Coturnix japonica: one gene and its partners. The protein of the gene in region 3 interacts with the protein of the main gene of each other region in a pairwise test. Links are inferred from orthologs where the notes say so. Each region holds a gene or a part of one and is shown on either strand. Other genes may lie near its edges.

Evidence for each region. The genes of interacting proteins can lie anywhere in the genome.
Region 1: the proteins of UBE2K (region 3) and RNF32 interact in binary tests that used the Homo sapiens proteins (3 or more experiments, as listed by UniProt). The link is inferred for Coturnix japonica from reciprocal best matches to the Homo sapiens genes UBE2K and RNF32.
Region 2: the proteins of UBE2K (region 3) and MIPOL1 interact in binary tests that used the Homo sapiens proteins (3 or more experiments, as listed by UniProt). The two-hybrid records come from large-scale screens. The link is inferred for Coturnix japonica from reciprocal best matches to the Homo sapiens genes UBE2K and MIPOL1.
Region 4: the proteins of UBE2K (region 3) and TRIM2 interact in binary tests that used the Homo sapiens proteins (3 or more experiments, as listed by UniProt). The link is inferred for Coturnix japonica from reciprocal best matches to the Homo sapiens genes UBE2K and TRIM2.

The regions. Positions count from the first base shown.
Region 1 is NC_029517.1:7,502,548-7,506,066, reverse strand, and holds part of RNF32 (RING finger protein 32), read right to left. Parts: intron 1,697-3,519; coding exon 1,554-1,696; intron 39-1,553; coding exon 6-38; intron 1-5. UniProt on the Homo sapiens protein: May play a role in sperm formation.
Region 2 is NC_029520.1:33,578,277-33,581,795, reverse strand, and holds part of MIPOL1 (mirror-image polydactyly gene 1 protein), read right to left. Parts: intron 2,515-3,519; coding exon 2,481-2,514; intron 2,222-2,480; coding exon 2,051-2,221; intron 1-2,050.
Region 3 is NC_029519.1:62,470,476-62,473,994, reverse strand, and holds part of UBE2K (ubiquitin-conjugating enzyme E2 K), read left to right. Parts: intron 1-1,558; coding exon 1,559-1,658; intron 1,659-3,519. UniProt on the Homo sapiens protein: Accepts ubiquitin from the E1 complex and catalyzes its covalent attachment to other proteins. In vitro, in the presence or in the absence of BRCA1-BARD1 E3 ubiquitin-protein ligase complex, catalyzes the synthesis of 'Lys-48'-linked polyubiquitin chains.
Region 4 is NC_029519.1:17,714,481-17,717,999, reverse strand, and holds part of TRIM2 (tripartite motif-containing protein 2), read right to left. Parts: intron 3,449-3,519; coding exon 2,725-3,448; intron 1-2,724. UniProt on the Homo sapiens protein: UBE2D1-dependent E3 ubiquitin-protein ligase that mediates the ubiquitination of NEFL and of phosphorylated BCL2L11. Plays a neuroprotective function. May play a role in neuronal rapid ischemic tolerance.

The DNA of each region.
Region 1 (3,519 bases), on a different chromosome or scaffold from region 3:
CTCACTTTATGGAATACATGGGAACAGGAAAGCAACACCTGTTTTACAAAGTAAAAAACAGAAAATTATCTTTAATCCATTCTAAGTCATCTTCTTCGGGTGACTTGTGCATTCTTTCTGGTTAAAATACTATCTTCAGTCTTCTGTAGGAATTACTGAATCAGTTACAGCTTAAACCAATGTGTGAATTTGGAGATAACAATACATGGAGTGGCAGAACGTGTGAGATGCCAACTACAGCACAATGTTATGGACATATTATGGACAATACTTATAACAAAGGTGTTATAAAAGTATTATAAGTGTTATAAGATGTTTCTCCCCCCCCCCCCCGGCTTTCCCATAAGCACATAAAAATTCAAGAAGTGATGTAAATCAAATGCAGCATTTCATACATTAAAATAAAACTACATCAAAATACAAAATAAGATGAAAAAAAAACAAGAAAAAGAGAAAGTGTGTTCACAGGCTACAAGAAAACTTCACCTTTATCTGACCTACATTCCCACCAAATGCTGATGATCTCCATCCTGACAAAAGATAGAGTGAGACAAAAACAGTGGTTGGCTCTTAGAGGAAGGGAAAATGGGGAAAGGAGTGGGGAAACCAGAACAAGTAGTGTGCACTATTGAGCTGGCAAACACAAAAGGATTAATGGCTGGCTGCCAGCTGAAGGGAAAGCTTTTAGATACAGTGGCTTTTTTCCCTTGAGGGAGGAAACCTAAAAGAAATTCTGAGGACAAGTAAAGAAAAGGATTCCAGGGGCATTTCCCTTTTTGTGTCAAATCTAAAGTAACCTTAATGACTGCTGTCTTTTGGTCCCTCTTGTCCAGCTTTAGACTTCTAGGGTAGAATGGTCTTTTGCCAGATCCATCCCACTTGTCTTTGGACAACTCTACACCTACAGTTAATGATGTTCATGTAGAGGGAAGCAAAATCCTTCCATCTAAGGTTTGTGAGAGCAGCATTCCTTTCCAATCAGTCACTCGTCACTTCACGTTTTCAATATGATACATGAGAGGCTGTAATAAAGTGCAATGGATGTGCTCATGCTACATGCGTGGCGTTGAATAAAGACACCAAGGTAAAATGTTATCTGAAGAAATACTTCTTTTCAAAATGGAAATAACTACTGAATTAAACTACAAAGTAAGGAAATTTGCAAGAAAAGAAAATATAATGTACATTGATTAATTAGCGCGTATTTACAATTTTGATTAACAAGGCCAAAGTTTGTACCTAATGGGAATTTAAATGGAGCAAAATATAGCCTAGAATTGTGTTGCAAAATCAAACAAAACTGCTGATTACCTTTTCCACTACTGTCATAACTGCATCAGTGAACAAACGCTACCGACCTTTCTCTACCATCTCACTTGCAAAGTAGTTCAGAGTTGGCCAACACAGCTCTACACAGCTGCTAACGACTAAATGGCATTCTAAAGTTGAACCTCTTGGTTCTTTCTTCTCTTCCTCCATATAGTGACTTTTAGGAGTAACTCTGGAAAATCTTAGTTACACACAATGGTGTAGTCCACAAGTTACACACGTACCTGAGGCTGAAGTGCAAACTCTTCCCTGCATATTGCGCAGGGCTGGATGGAGTCTCCATGCTGAATGGATCTCTGCTTTATTTTCGCCCATTCTTCAGCAGTCAGCGGCAGGGATGGGGGCTCAACTAGTCCTAATTTCTGAGCTGCAGACAGTTAGAACAACAAATCACCAGATAACGTTCATCATTCATTTATTTAAAAATACTGCATACAGATGCTGCATACAAATTTATCATCACATAAACCACTGGCAGGCAACATACCTCCTAATACTGGCTACCTATTCGCTAGGCAGTCTCAAATGATAACTGTGAGGTACCATGCTGAATGCCCATGATAAATCAGTCTTCTCGAAGAAGGAATTTGTGAAAATACAGTATTTCCCCCACATATGGGATATAGGTCAGCATCAGTATCTCAGTAGTGAAAAAAATGATGCTAAGTGGTACAGTAAAATGAGACCTATGTCATACTGAGGAGCAGAAGAAACATCTGTGGACTGAATGAAAATAGTGGAGGAATGCCTGAGGTATATAATCTAAAATACGAGTCCATGATGGGGCATCCATAATATTTGCTAAAATCAGAAAAGAAAAGGTATATTAAATAGTTAGAATGTAAAGCAATGGTGCCAGGTAGAGGGCTGTGGTTGTAAATGGGAAAGGGTCAACTCTATCACTTGTACCACACAGTGGATCCAACCAAATTCTTGGCATAAAGCTTCCTTATAGCAAAGAACATTCTTCAAAGACACCAAACAAATTTGGTTTCATATCTTACCTTTACTAAAAACATATATCAGGCTTCACCTGACAGTAATATTGAAGAGTATCAGTGAATGAGTAAGAATAGAGGATCTTGTGTGGATGGTCCAACACACACGTGTAGATAGTCTTTGCAATGACAGAATCTGGATACACAGCAAACCAGTCACAGTGTTAAATACTCGCAGAATAAAAAATGCCCTTTATTTTCTTCCAGTCACTGTGGTCAGAAACTGTTCTGGGGAAGACAGTGTGACTGCATTGGGGAAGCCTTTTGTATGTGCCCGGAGTGAAATAAATAAGTAAATAAATAAGTAAGTAAAGCTTATTAAAAACTTCCACAAAAAGATGATTAATGCTGCCAAATAGGAAGAGATTGGAGGCAAAACTTAACTTCTAAATAATATAAACCAGATGGGATATTTGTGAGGGAAAGCTATTACACAACACAGTTGATGAAGGAAAACTGGCAGCAGGACACAGAAGAAGTGATATGTGATTGATGTAAAAGGCTCTGTGAAGATATTTTTGAAGCTGCACTTGGAAGAAATGTAAGTAACGAAAGCCTACATTTATCACAGCTCAGGAGATCCAAGAGTTTTCATTCTTATGCACTGCTCAGAAGCCCAACCTGCTTACTGACACACAGCTGAGTTATTTATCCTAAAATGAACATTAGCGAAGTAATTACATACAATAACCTCTAAGCCCTTATAATTAGCTTTTAGGACACAAGCCCCCGTTGAGAAAAATTTAATGACCGAACCCTCGGAGGTTGTTTGATTACCTACAAACTCAAGAAGAAAAAAACACATTAAATTACATTTTCAAAGTTGCTTCACAACTTAAAGTTTTAAACCACAGCGTCCTTAAAAAGAGAAAGTTTGACACAAGCATTACACATTAATGAGAGATTACAGGTGAAAATACTAATGAGCAAACACAGACACAAAGGCAATGACTTCTTAGAATCTTTCAGCACATTCTTTGCAATCGGTTGCACAAACAGTCATGTAGGATCTCTCAGTCAGTGCTGGGATTTAAGGAGAAAATACTTTGTCTTGTAGTTGCAGAGAACATGCTCACACTTGGTCTGCATTTTTTCACCACATTTAGCTTCCAGAATCACTCGTTATTTGTATTTGCGTTAACCCCAGTAGCTCTCTGCTGGCTTTGCCCCCGGAATCCTCTCCCCTTTCAAA
Region 2 (3,519 bases), on a different chromosome or scaffold from region 3:
TGTAGGAATCCCTCTCCTATTGTTCTTGCTGTTAGCACTGTAATAACTACTGCTATTGCAATGTTAACAAAAGACTACTAATAATTCAAGTACTGTATGAATTCCCAAGGAATCATCAAGTAAGAGATGCAAGTTGAAATGATAGGAGCTATTTTCTAGGTTTGATAGCTACAGTCATAAAAGTATCACATATGCACATAGCACAACACATGAGTAATCAAGTTTTATTAACAATAACTAATTTTAAGAAATGGTTTTATAAACTGCAAACACTATCACAGGATTACAGCTTAATACCAAATACTGAAAATTTTAGGGAGTGTTTTGCTTTATTCATTTACTTATTTTATCAGCTGCACTACCTATGTAACGTTATCTGTGCTTTTTGCTATCAGGCCTAAAAGACAGCTTTGCTAACTATGGCAATTAACCCATTATTATATAGAATAATGATCTTTATTAATTTACAAGTTCTTAAAAGAAAGACTTGTATAAATGTCTGTATATTATTCCTTGAACAGGTTGCTTAAAAATCAACTTAATTAAAATGTATATTATAACACCCTACAATGACATTATTCTGATATCCTTCATAAAATATTTAAAGTCCAAGTGTGTCTGAAAGTTTACTTCACCAAAAAAGCAGAATCTCGTAGAAGAAAAACAAAACTATCTAAAGATCCTTCTCTTGTAGTAAAAGCTTTTTTCCTATAAGCTGCCCACTTTCCAAATGCCCTGTGCAAAGAAGAAATCCAATCATAACTCAAAAACCAAAGAGCATAAATTTTTTTGGCAGAACAGTTGTATGTGCCCTAGTAGCTACACTGCTCCTCATTACTATAAAAGCAAACAAAAACACAGCGAAAAACTGAACTTCCAACATTAACATCCTTTGTAATGCACATAGGATACAAACACAAAATTTGTTAGGCACCAAGAAATGAATCTTTCAGGGCTGCAGCAGGATAGAATGCAAAGACAATGATTGCAAAAACAACATCAACAAAAAACAATGAGAATTACAGACTGAGTGGAAGAATATCTTTTACAGAAATACACATCAATACAAAATAAATGCAATCATCATTAATACTAGACAAGATCACCAATTTGACCTTAAATCTAATTCTGTTAAAATTAAAGAATTATTTAGATATAGGCTCACATTCAGCAGACATTGAAATTTTCAATACTGGAACAAGACATAGATGAAATTTCTTGCCTTGCCTGAAAGTGTAAGGATGTTCATCAAACCTATAATTTTGTGAGATGTAGCCCCCTACTTAGTATTCCTCTTTCTACAGACTGGTCCAATTGAGTCAAATCTAGCTTAAAAAAAAAAAGGGGGGGGGGGGGGGGGAGGGGGAAAGAAAGCTTTGGAAAAAAAACAAAACAAAATAACAACTCTTCTTTGAGATAGGAAAAATAAGGAGACACTCTCCAGGGTGAAGAGAAAGAATATTCTTCTGTAAAGATAGGAAAAGCAGAGAGAATGATTGATCTGAGCAGAATAGAAAACATCAGATTGTTTTAAGTTACTTAGCAGAAATGTTAAAGAGTCAATGACCACATGCAGATTTTCAGTTCCTGAATGTAAAGCAATAAAGGAAAGAATTGCTTGCTTTGTCACATGTGGCAGTCTTATCTTCCCTCACTGTGCATTTCTATCACTTATAAATCTTTACAAATCCATGAGTCCCAGTCACAAACTGCTTTATACAGCTAAAGAATACTGGAAAGTTAAGATCTTAAAACTGTTTTAGATTACTTAGTATAACGAATACTATATTTATTTCATTTTAAAGAGTCAGCTAGTGACCAGGTAGAAAGAATACACAATACTTCCTGTGAAATAGATTGGAGACCACTACTGCCTTGAAGAAACTGTTGCTTGTTAGTCAGCCATTTATTATAATACTATAATATTGATCTTAATATATTGAGATTTTCTGCAGAAGAAAGTTAACAAAGTAAATTTATTCCCCAAAAGTAGAATAAAAAATAAATAAATATATTGGCATTGAGTGATTACATACTTGTAGAGACTTACTTGAGACAAAGCAGCATCACGTTGCTCTATCACTGCATTCATTTCCTCAGCTATTATTTTCTTTTTACGTTCTTTGGTCCTGTGTATTCGATTCAGAATAATAGCTCCATTCTTCAGTATATCTATCCCTGTGTCTGCATTGTTTATTCTGTTCAGTAATTCCTGTAATGTCTACCAACAGCATTATATGTTAGTCAGACATGAAGTTTTAATATATTTTATTTAATATAGGGTTTTAATTAATAGGCACATGTGAATTGTAAATTGACTGAGTGAAGTTATTGAATTTTCATACTGCAGCAAAGATGTACATTATTAGTGTGTCAATTCTTCTTTTTCCCACATCTTAGTTCTTGAAACCCACTCAATTGAACTTAAGCCTCTAAGATATAAGACTGACATCAAGAAATCTCCTCAGAGAATGGCTTACCATGTCATTTTCTTCAGGGTTAATATTTTCTAGCCTAGAAAAAAGGGACACAGAAAGCCTGATCAGTAGCATTTCCTTAGTGCAGCAAAATGAGTTCGCTTTTTAAATCTTTAGAACCTCAAGTAATTTCATTCTACTAGTCTTTAGAGTCAACCATGACACTGAACATATTAAAGTGCCACCTGCTCGACTCCATCTTTCAATAATGCTCCATATCTTCAGCACTGACTACAGACTGTTAAGTTATTAATGTTTACTGCTATATATGACTACAAGGATCAATTGTTCATATGTGCTTAGATGAAGAAAGTTCCCCAGTGATAGAAATGACTGATGCTCTTATTTTATTTATTCCTGGACTTACAACTTTTACCCAACATTGTATTTTTGTTGTTTTTAGTGCACCATAAATGTAACAGGACAAGACTTTTGTAAAGATTGTTTGTTTTGTGCTTTGTTTTTCTTTTTCATTTTTATGTAATTATTTTCCCACCTCTCTTCCAAAAGGAGGAAATGGACTAGTTGAAGTTTCCCTGAAAATGTTTTGCTTTTGTATCTAGCACAAGATATCATGTTAGGACAACCCGCTGCAAGCTACTTATTTAAGCACGTAATAAGATGCCTCTGCTTTCCCACATTTAATCTGTCAAATATAAAAATGATAGGAAGAATTCAGTTATACACAGAACACTTACTGTGCAAAAGCAGTGAGTGATAGTGCAAAGATCTAATAAATGGGATACTACGTATTTTACTTAAGCTTAATTATATGGGCAACATGTATGCAATGCACAGTAAACCAACCATACAAAAATTAATTACTTAAATAGAAAAGAAACAGTTCAAAATATACTACTGTGTACAGCAGCTAGTACTTTTATAAGGAGTTTGAAGGCAGTAATTACTCCAACACCTAAAGTCTGCATCAGAAGAAAACAAAACAAAAGTAAAAGCTAAACTTTGCTATGTTATAGATATATTCATAAAGTAACATAAATCATAAAATCAGAACTGACTCCTTGAGTTAGCTTCTCTTAGA
Region 3 (3,519 bases):
TTGCCTAATTTGAGTGGTTAGCAACATAGGAGGAAAACCATTCATGCATACAGCTGGGAATATAATGCTCAGGTGTCACAGCTGTACCTCTGACACCCTACCAGCATTGGTGCACTGTGCCGTACCTCACGATGGTGTGTCAGTACTGGAGAATAGCCACACTTCTGAAATCTGAGGCTGGAAATACGAAACGAAACAGACAGCAATTCTGTCTGGACCGACTGATGAAACTCCTCCCTACCCCTTCTAACAAACTCACTGCATTTACTTCCAGCCTTCTGAAAAGGAGAAACTACTTTCTGTTCATTGACGCTTGTGCTGATTATGCTTGTTTCACAACGTTCCTTTAGCATTTCATGTACTGTGACTGTCTAACTTGAATTTAAGGTGTTGCATTTTCCCACTTCCGCTGCCTCAGTACTAGTGAAAGGTTAAATAGCCGTGTGCATTACCTTGAGGGTCTGTCAGTGCTGGCAGCACAACTGAGTCTGCTGAACTGCTCAGCACAGCGGGTCCTGATGTGGTTGCCATTGTGTGCCAGCTGAAATGGTAGATCAGAGATGGTGCTCATGGTCAACATGTATTGAAACAACATTTGAATTGTTACAGATTTACAGATAAGTGTGCAAATAACGATTTCATACCTCTTTCCTGAGTGGTGATTGACGTTAAATGTGTGCCTGGTTTTCCCTTTTATTAAAAGTGGCCGAAGTCTCTTATTCTCGATAGATGTTGAGATGAAGGTAAATGATGAACTCTCAGGAGATGAATGGTGTAGACTCCAGAGCCATATTGTCCTCAACAGACTTCTTTCAGAGAGGTGGCCAACTGCCTTTAGAGCACCATCGTTTCTATAGAAATGTTTTCTTACGCTGTCTGGAATTCTATCCCAGCTAAAACCAGGATGGCTGGTCAGAACTGTCAGTGGTATCGCATTGAAATGAGAGGAAGTTGAGGGACTACCTTCAGTTGGTCGCTTCTGTAACTGTCTGACCTTTTCTTGTTGTGGTAGTGATTCACTGTGTAAGTTGTTTACATTACATTTTTCCCCCAAAGAAGTTAAGTGATGCGATGGAAAAAAAGTCAAATGTGTAAAATTCCTTCTCTGGTGTAAGAATTTTAAATACAGGTCACTGTTTCTGTTTATGCTATTTTGCTATGAGGAGTGCCAGCAGAGGGAGCACACATTGGCTGACAGTTCGATACCCAGAGTTTGAGCAAGGTGCTGTTACGGGTAGTAAGGAAGGACAACACAAACTTCAGGCTAACTTTTTTTTTTTTTTTTGAGCAAGTGAAATGAATTCTGCTATGTGGGTAAGATCAGTTGTGTAGGTCAGGGGTTCTTTTCCAGACACTGAAAGCATTGTTAATGACCAAGTCCCTTTTTGAAAGCTCACTTCAGTTAAACTGTATTTTAATACCTCTACACTGTACCAGCTGAAGATGCTAACATCAAGGTTTAAAAGATCTCTATATATTCTCATATCTTCTGTTTTATGACAGTTGTGGCAGAGATGTCTATAGGTTTGGCAAAGTCACTTTCAAATTGTCATTTCAGGGCAGCAGCAATGACTCTAAGAACAGTGTTGTTATCTCTGCAAGCATTGTTGGCAGCTGCAGAACCAGACGATCCACAAGACGCAGTAGTGGCAAACCAGGTAAGGGGCTCAGCTGACCGAATTGCTGACATTTCTCTAACCTTCATTAACTTGAACTGAGTTCAGAACCTTGGAGACAATAAAGATCTTTCAATCATCTATTTGGAAACTGCTTTACAGTAGGTGCAAGTTACTACAGTATTTTGTGCTTTACTCTATAGATTTCAAAGTAAATAGCAGCTACTCTGCAGTGTGAAAAGATGTGGTTTTTTTTTAATCTTCCTTATTTAGCTTGTAAGAAATGTCAGGAGATAACGCATAGTAGAATGGATCCCAATATAACTTTCCTTTTAAAATCTGAGATTTATATAAACATTGGCTTATATAAAACAAGTTACACTAAAACAAGTTATAACCTGGTGTTTGTTGGATTTGAATTGGCTTGTAGCTCCTCTTCTGGATTAGTGTGAATTGGTGTTGGTTTGTTAAATACAAAAATCTTAGCATTAGATGCTGCAGGTCGCTACTCAACAAGACACGTTTAAAAATCTACATGGAGCATTCTGTATTTTACCTGTGCAGGTACTTGGGTTAACTATTTTAGTCTAGTTGAGTATGTATTAATGGAATTCTCATGTAATCAGCAAGGTTTGTTATTCTTCAGACAGTAGCAACAATTTATAAAGAAATAATAGCTGGTGGTATTTAAAATATTGATTGAAGATGGGAACAATCTTTCCATGACTTTAATCGTTTGACAGTTGTCAGCAAAATCCCAAGGATGCATGTGATTTTCCTTTTTTCTTTGGGGGAAAAGAGAGAGAGAGAAGGCTTTGCTTTGCAGTTGACCTTATATATATCAATATATAAGGATATATTTCAGTAACAAAAAAAAAACTCAAGCAAGTAAAAAGTTCTTCCAGCATCGATCTCATCTCTATCTCCTGTAAGTCAGCACACTCCAGGAAAGGGTAAGAAGTGTGTACTCCTTTCTCCTAAAGTCTAGTCTGTGTAGGATGACAGTTAATCAGTTTATCACAGCTGTCTGCTTTTAAAGGGAAATGTGGAGAACATAGGAGACCCATTCAGTCTTTTGGTGGAAAAGCTGCTTTACGTTTTCCTCTTTCACATAGAACAAAAATTGAGCTTCCTATTCAGGCTGCTGAAAGTAGGATTTCCGCACAGAATTCTAATGATCTCATAGAAACCCTTCAGCTGGAAACCAGATAGAAAACTTCATAAAACTTCCTGAACTCTGAGTTGCAGTTTTCCAGGTGGCCTTTCAAGTGCCTTAGGGGGTGTCTGGTGGGACCCTGGTGCAGCTGGTGTGGGGAAGGTTCAGTTTCTCCCCTGCAGATATCTACATGAAGAGCCATTTTGCTTTGCTAGCAGGTCGGCCTTCAGTTACACACACGTATGTAAGTAGAAAGTTGTTATAATCCCTTAGAGAGGTAAAGGTAAACATCCAGTTCTTCCACACATGGTCTTTTTTCCAGGTCACCTGTCTAGTCCCGTCCTGTTGTTCCCTTCTACCATCCCCCAAAATCTTCTCGAAAAGAAAATCTAATAAGGAATTATTTATCCTACATGCTCATTTTTTGTTTTACTTTGCTAATGTATGTAATTATTTGTTAGATGAGGTACAAGGCAGTATTTCCTACATGTGCTTCAGCTGAATCCCAGGGAGAACGTGACGTTCTACTCCTGCTCAGGTAATGGCAGTGCTTTCAGGTACCTGCCATCTTCAATGTCCAGTGCCAAAACCACTTCATCATGCTTGACTGGTTGCAGCTGGTTTTTAAGTACAGCAGCATAATTGACTGTGATTTGCAATACAGAGACATCAGTAAGAGGTGCTTGTGTGCTTCTCAATTCAGTGAGAAGCCAGATTATTTACAGGTACCTAAGTAAAGGAGTTTTA
Region 4 (3,519 bases), about 45 Mb from region 3:
AACACTTATCTTCACTAATACTGTGTTAACACTATTTCTTAATATTCACACAAGAATGATCTTCTGCTGGGAGCTGATTGATTTACATCTGCATAAAAGCCCATATTTCAATGGAATACAATAGCATGCTCCATATACTCGCGTGCCATAGGAATATTACAGTATAATTCTCCAGCACAGCCATATGTATCTCCGGTGGCCCAAGTGCAAGCTTTATCTTGCATAGTTTTAAACAAAAATCCACATTTGGCCAGGGCTATCAGAGGAATTCAACAGTGGGATCCAAACAGATACACAGTTGTGCTGGAAAAGAGCATTTTGCATGACTTCATCAACAGATGGACCAAACCTCAAATTTCTTGAGTGATTAAAAACTGGAGCTAAACAAAATCTTAGATTCCTGAAGGCAACCTCTGCATAAATGTCAGAAGTTTTAACTTATTAATTACATATATTTTGGAAGAGTGTGAAGAAGCTAGAGCATTACAGCTGCAACTGCTTAGAGACTTCTTAGATGATGATGCATACATAATCCCACCAGGACATCTCTATATAGGATCATTCTGTGAAATGAGTAGCCAAGAACAAAATGTGGAATGAGATTAAGCATTATTCCCAGTTCAGTTTTTCAGTAACATCTTAAATGTGGAAACTCCTGAGGGCTTTCCTCAAGCAAAAGCTACAGCTGTAGCTCTTTTTCCTTTGAATGATGGGAAGACACAGTGAGGAAGACAGGGAAAAGGAAGGAGAAAAAGCTCCAAAATAAAGCACACAGTCGTGATTGCACTACAATGAAAAGGCACTACACTTTTCAGAAAATATTCAAGGCCGTATTAGAGTTCATGGTGTAGTAGAGAGAATCACTGAAACAGCAGGAACAACTAGAGCTATAGCACTATTTGGCAGTTAGGTTGGAAGCTACTCACTAGAAGCAAGGGATACAGAAGCAGAAATTAGAACCTGAAATCATGTCAGGCCATACTAAAAGCTTTATAATAAGAATGCTAACAGTCTTAAAATTATGACAGGACTTCAAATCTGCTCATCCAACCTAGCATATGCTCTTCTTAGCATATGATGTGGCACAACCACTTCCAGAAGAGATCAAAGAAACATTTTCCTTCAGGCAGGGCTCAGGCATCATCCTGAGCTCTTGTTTAACCTTGTCTCAAAACAAGGTGCCCAGAAAAATCTAGGAAATATCTGTACATACTCTCTGTTGCTCTTAACCAGCACTAGCAGTGAAATCATATTTGGGAAAAGCCACAGATCCCTTTCCATTCCTGCAGAAGTCCAGAACTAATTACTCTGCCTCTGTGCAAGGGATTTTTTTTCTTTAACAACTCAGCAATACCTTTTGCAACCAGAACACCCTCCTGCTAGAGGCAAAGCAATGTTTGGGTATTAATTTAACAAAAGGCACCTACCAGCTTTGGACAACAAAAAGCAGTTATTGTTGAGAAGGCTCAGCTCAACTTCAGTGTGAATTATTCTACATCTTATTTCTAACTTTTGTCCCAGGAATGATCAGAAAATGCAGCCTTATTGACAGTAAAACAGTATGTTATTGACTCTGTAGCAAATGCTTTGAGATGTTATATTTAGGAGTTGTTTATCTTACAAGGAAATGCACTATCCATCTGGGAAAGGCTGGACATTTAATGAGCAGCTATATGCAAAGCTTGCATTATAATGTCTTACAAGCAAGCAAACCATGTGTACTGAATGCATTTTCTGATATAAAGCCACTGTTATTGCATACATTGTCTATTATAGTAAAGATTCCTAAAGAAATCCTATCAGACAAGAAGTCTGACAGAAAGGGCAACTGACACATGGTATCCCAATGAGTTTTCAACAGAATTACTGAAAAACCCTCAAGGAAAACCCACCATTCATTCTCTGCTACAAGAGAGAAACTACTTTTCTGATAAGTGCTCAAATATGATATACAGACTTGTATATATCAAAAGTCAACTTCATTTTTTTTTTTCTTTAGCTGTACAACATGAAAAGTTGTTGTTGCTGCTTTTAACTACATAAGTTAGGTATTTATATAACATATAGATTATGAATTCTTAGATAGCTTAAAAAGAGATTGCCCCAAAAGAGCTGAAAGAAAATCAGAATAAACGACATCTATATTTTTATAACCCTTAGAAACCCACAAACTTTGAGATACTACTACATTATATGAAGGATGAAACACGTTTAGATAGTAGGAAAAAGTACAAAACACATTTAAAGAAACAAACAACAAATAAAGGAAATAATAATTTTGTCCTATGTTGATATCAAGAAATAACTATGTTTGATCATAGGTTTTAACATGTGTAGATCCTGGTTAATTAATTAGATTAACCTCTATGTTAATCATTTTAGAGAGGAAATCCTTCTACTTTGTCTCTTGCCATGCAATTTTTTAAAGAAGTAGTTCAATATAAATCTGCAGCATTGATCTTGTAATATTGCCACGTAAAATATTTCATGATAAATCAGATGGATGCATTTCTCAACCCCAAAATCTAACTAAATATTTGCCGATAGAATTCCTGAAACATGTGCTTTTAAAATGCATATGTGAAATAATTAAGAGGACTAAAGGTATTATCAGGTTGCTCTACTTAGAGCTTTAATGTTAAAATAATTTAACTTGGGAAATTTTCATCCAGTTTCCTTGAATTGCATTTGCTTATGGCAGTAGTTAGCGGAGAAGTCACCTACCTACTCTGAAGATCAAATCATCTTCAATTGGATTCTCTTTTCTTTTTCCAGTGCTGTACATGCTTGCAGGTCTTTTCACAGCTTTCTGCTTTACGTGACCACTGCCAGGAGATTTAACACGTCTCTTAACCCCCTCAGTGGTAGGGGATACGTCTGCTGATCTGACCACTTTCAGTTTAAATGGGCTGCCTTTGATGTGTTGATCATAAAGTCTCAATGACAAAGTGAAATCCCCTTCTTTCTGAACAGTATACAAAAATTCGTAAGTGCCGTTTTTATTGTCAAGTATTTCTCCATCTGCTACACTTCCATCGGGCGTGCTGAGCTCAGCAGTGAGGTAAGCATTCCCCGACTTACAGAGCTCCCCATCTTTGTCCTTGGTGGTGATGGTAACAGACATGGGCTGTCCAATCACAGTCTGCCGCAGTCCCTCACCTGTGGCAACTGTTTCAGAGGCAACAGCATTGGTGGTTAAAATAGTGCCCAAATTGTGAATGGACTTTTTCAGGCCTTCTGTTTCCACTATGAAGTCCAGCTGATCATTTTCACGGGGCTGCAAGGGGAAATCTCGCTCAGCCAGTTCATTCAGCTTGTCACTCATCTGCTTCTTCACCAGCAGCACTTCAGTTTCGGTGCCATGGTTGAGGGCTTGGGCTGTAAAGTTGCTGCAACTTTTAATGCTCTCTTGTCCTTCAAGTAAGGTATCCAACTGGGTCTGGAGAACCTGTACACATTGCCAAACACCACATCAACATCAAATGGCAGAATTTATGCTAGCAACATTTAGCATGTTTC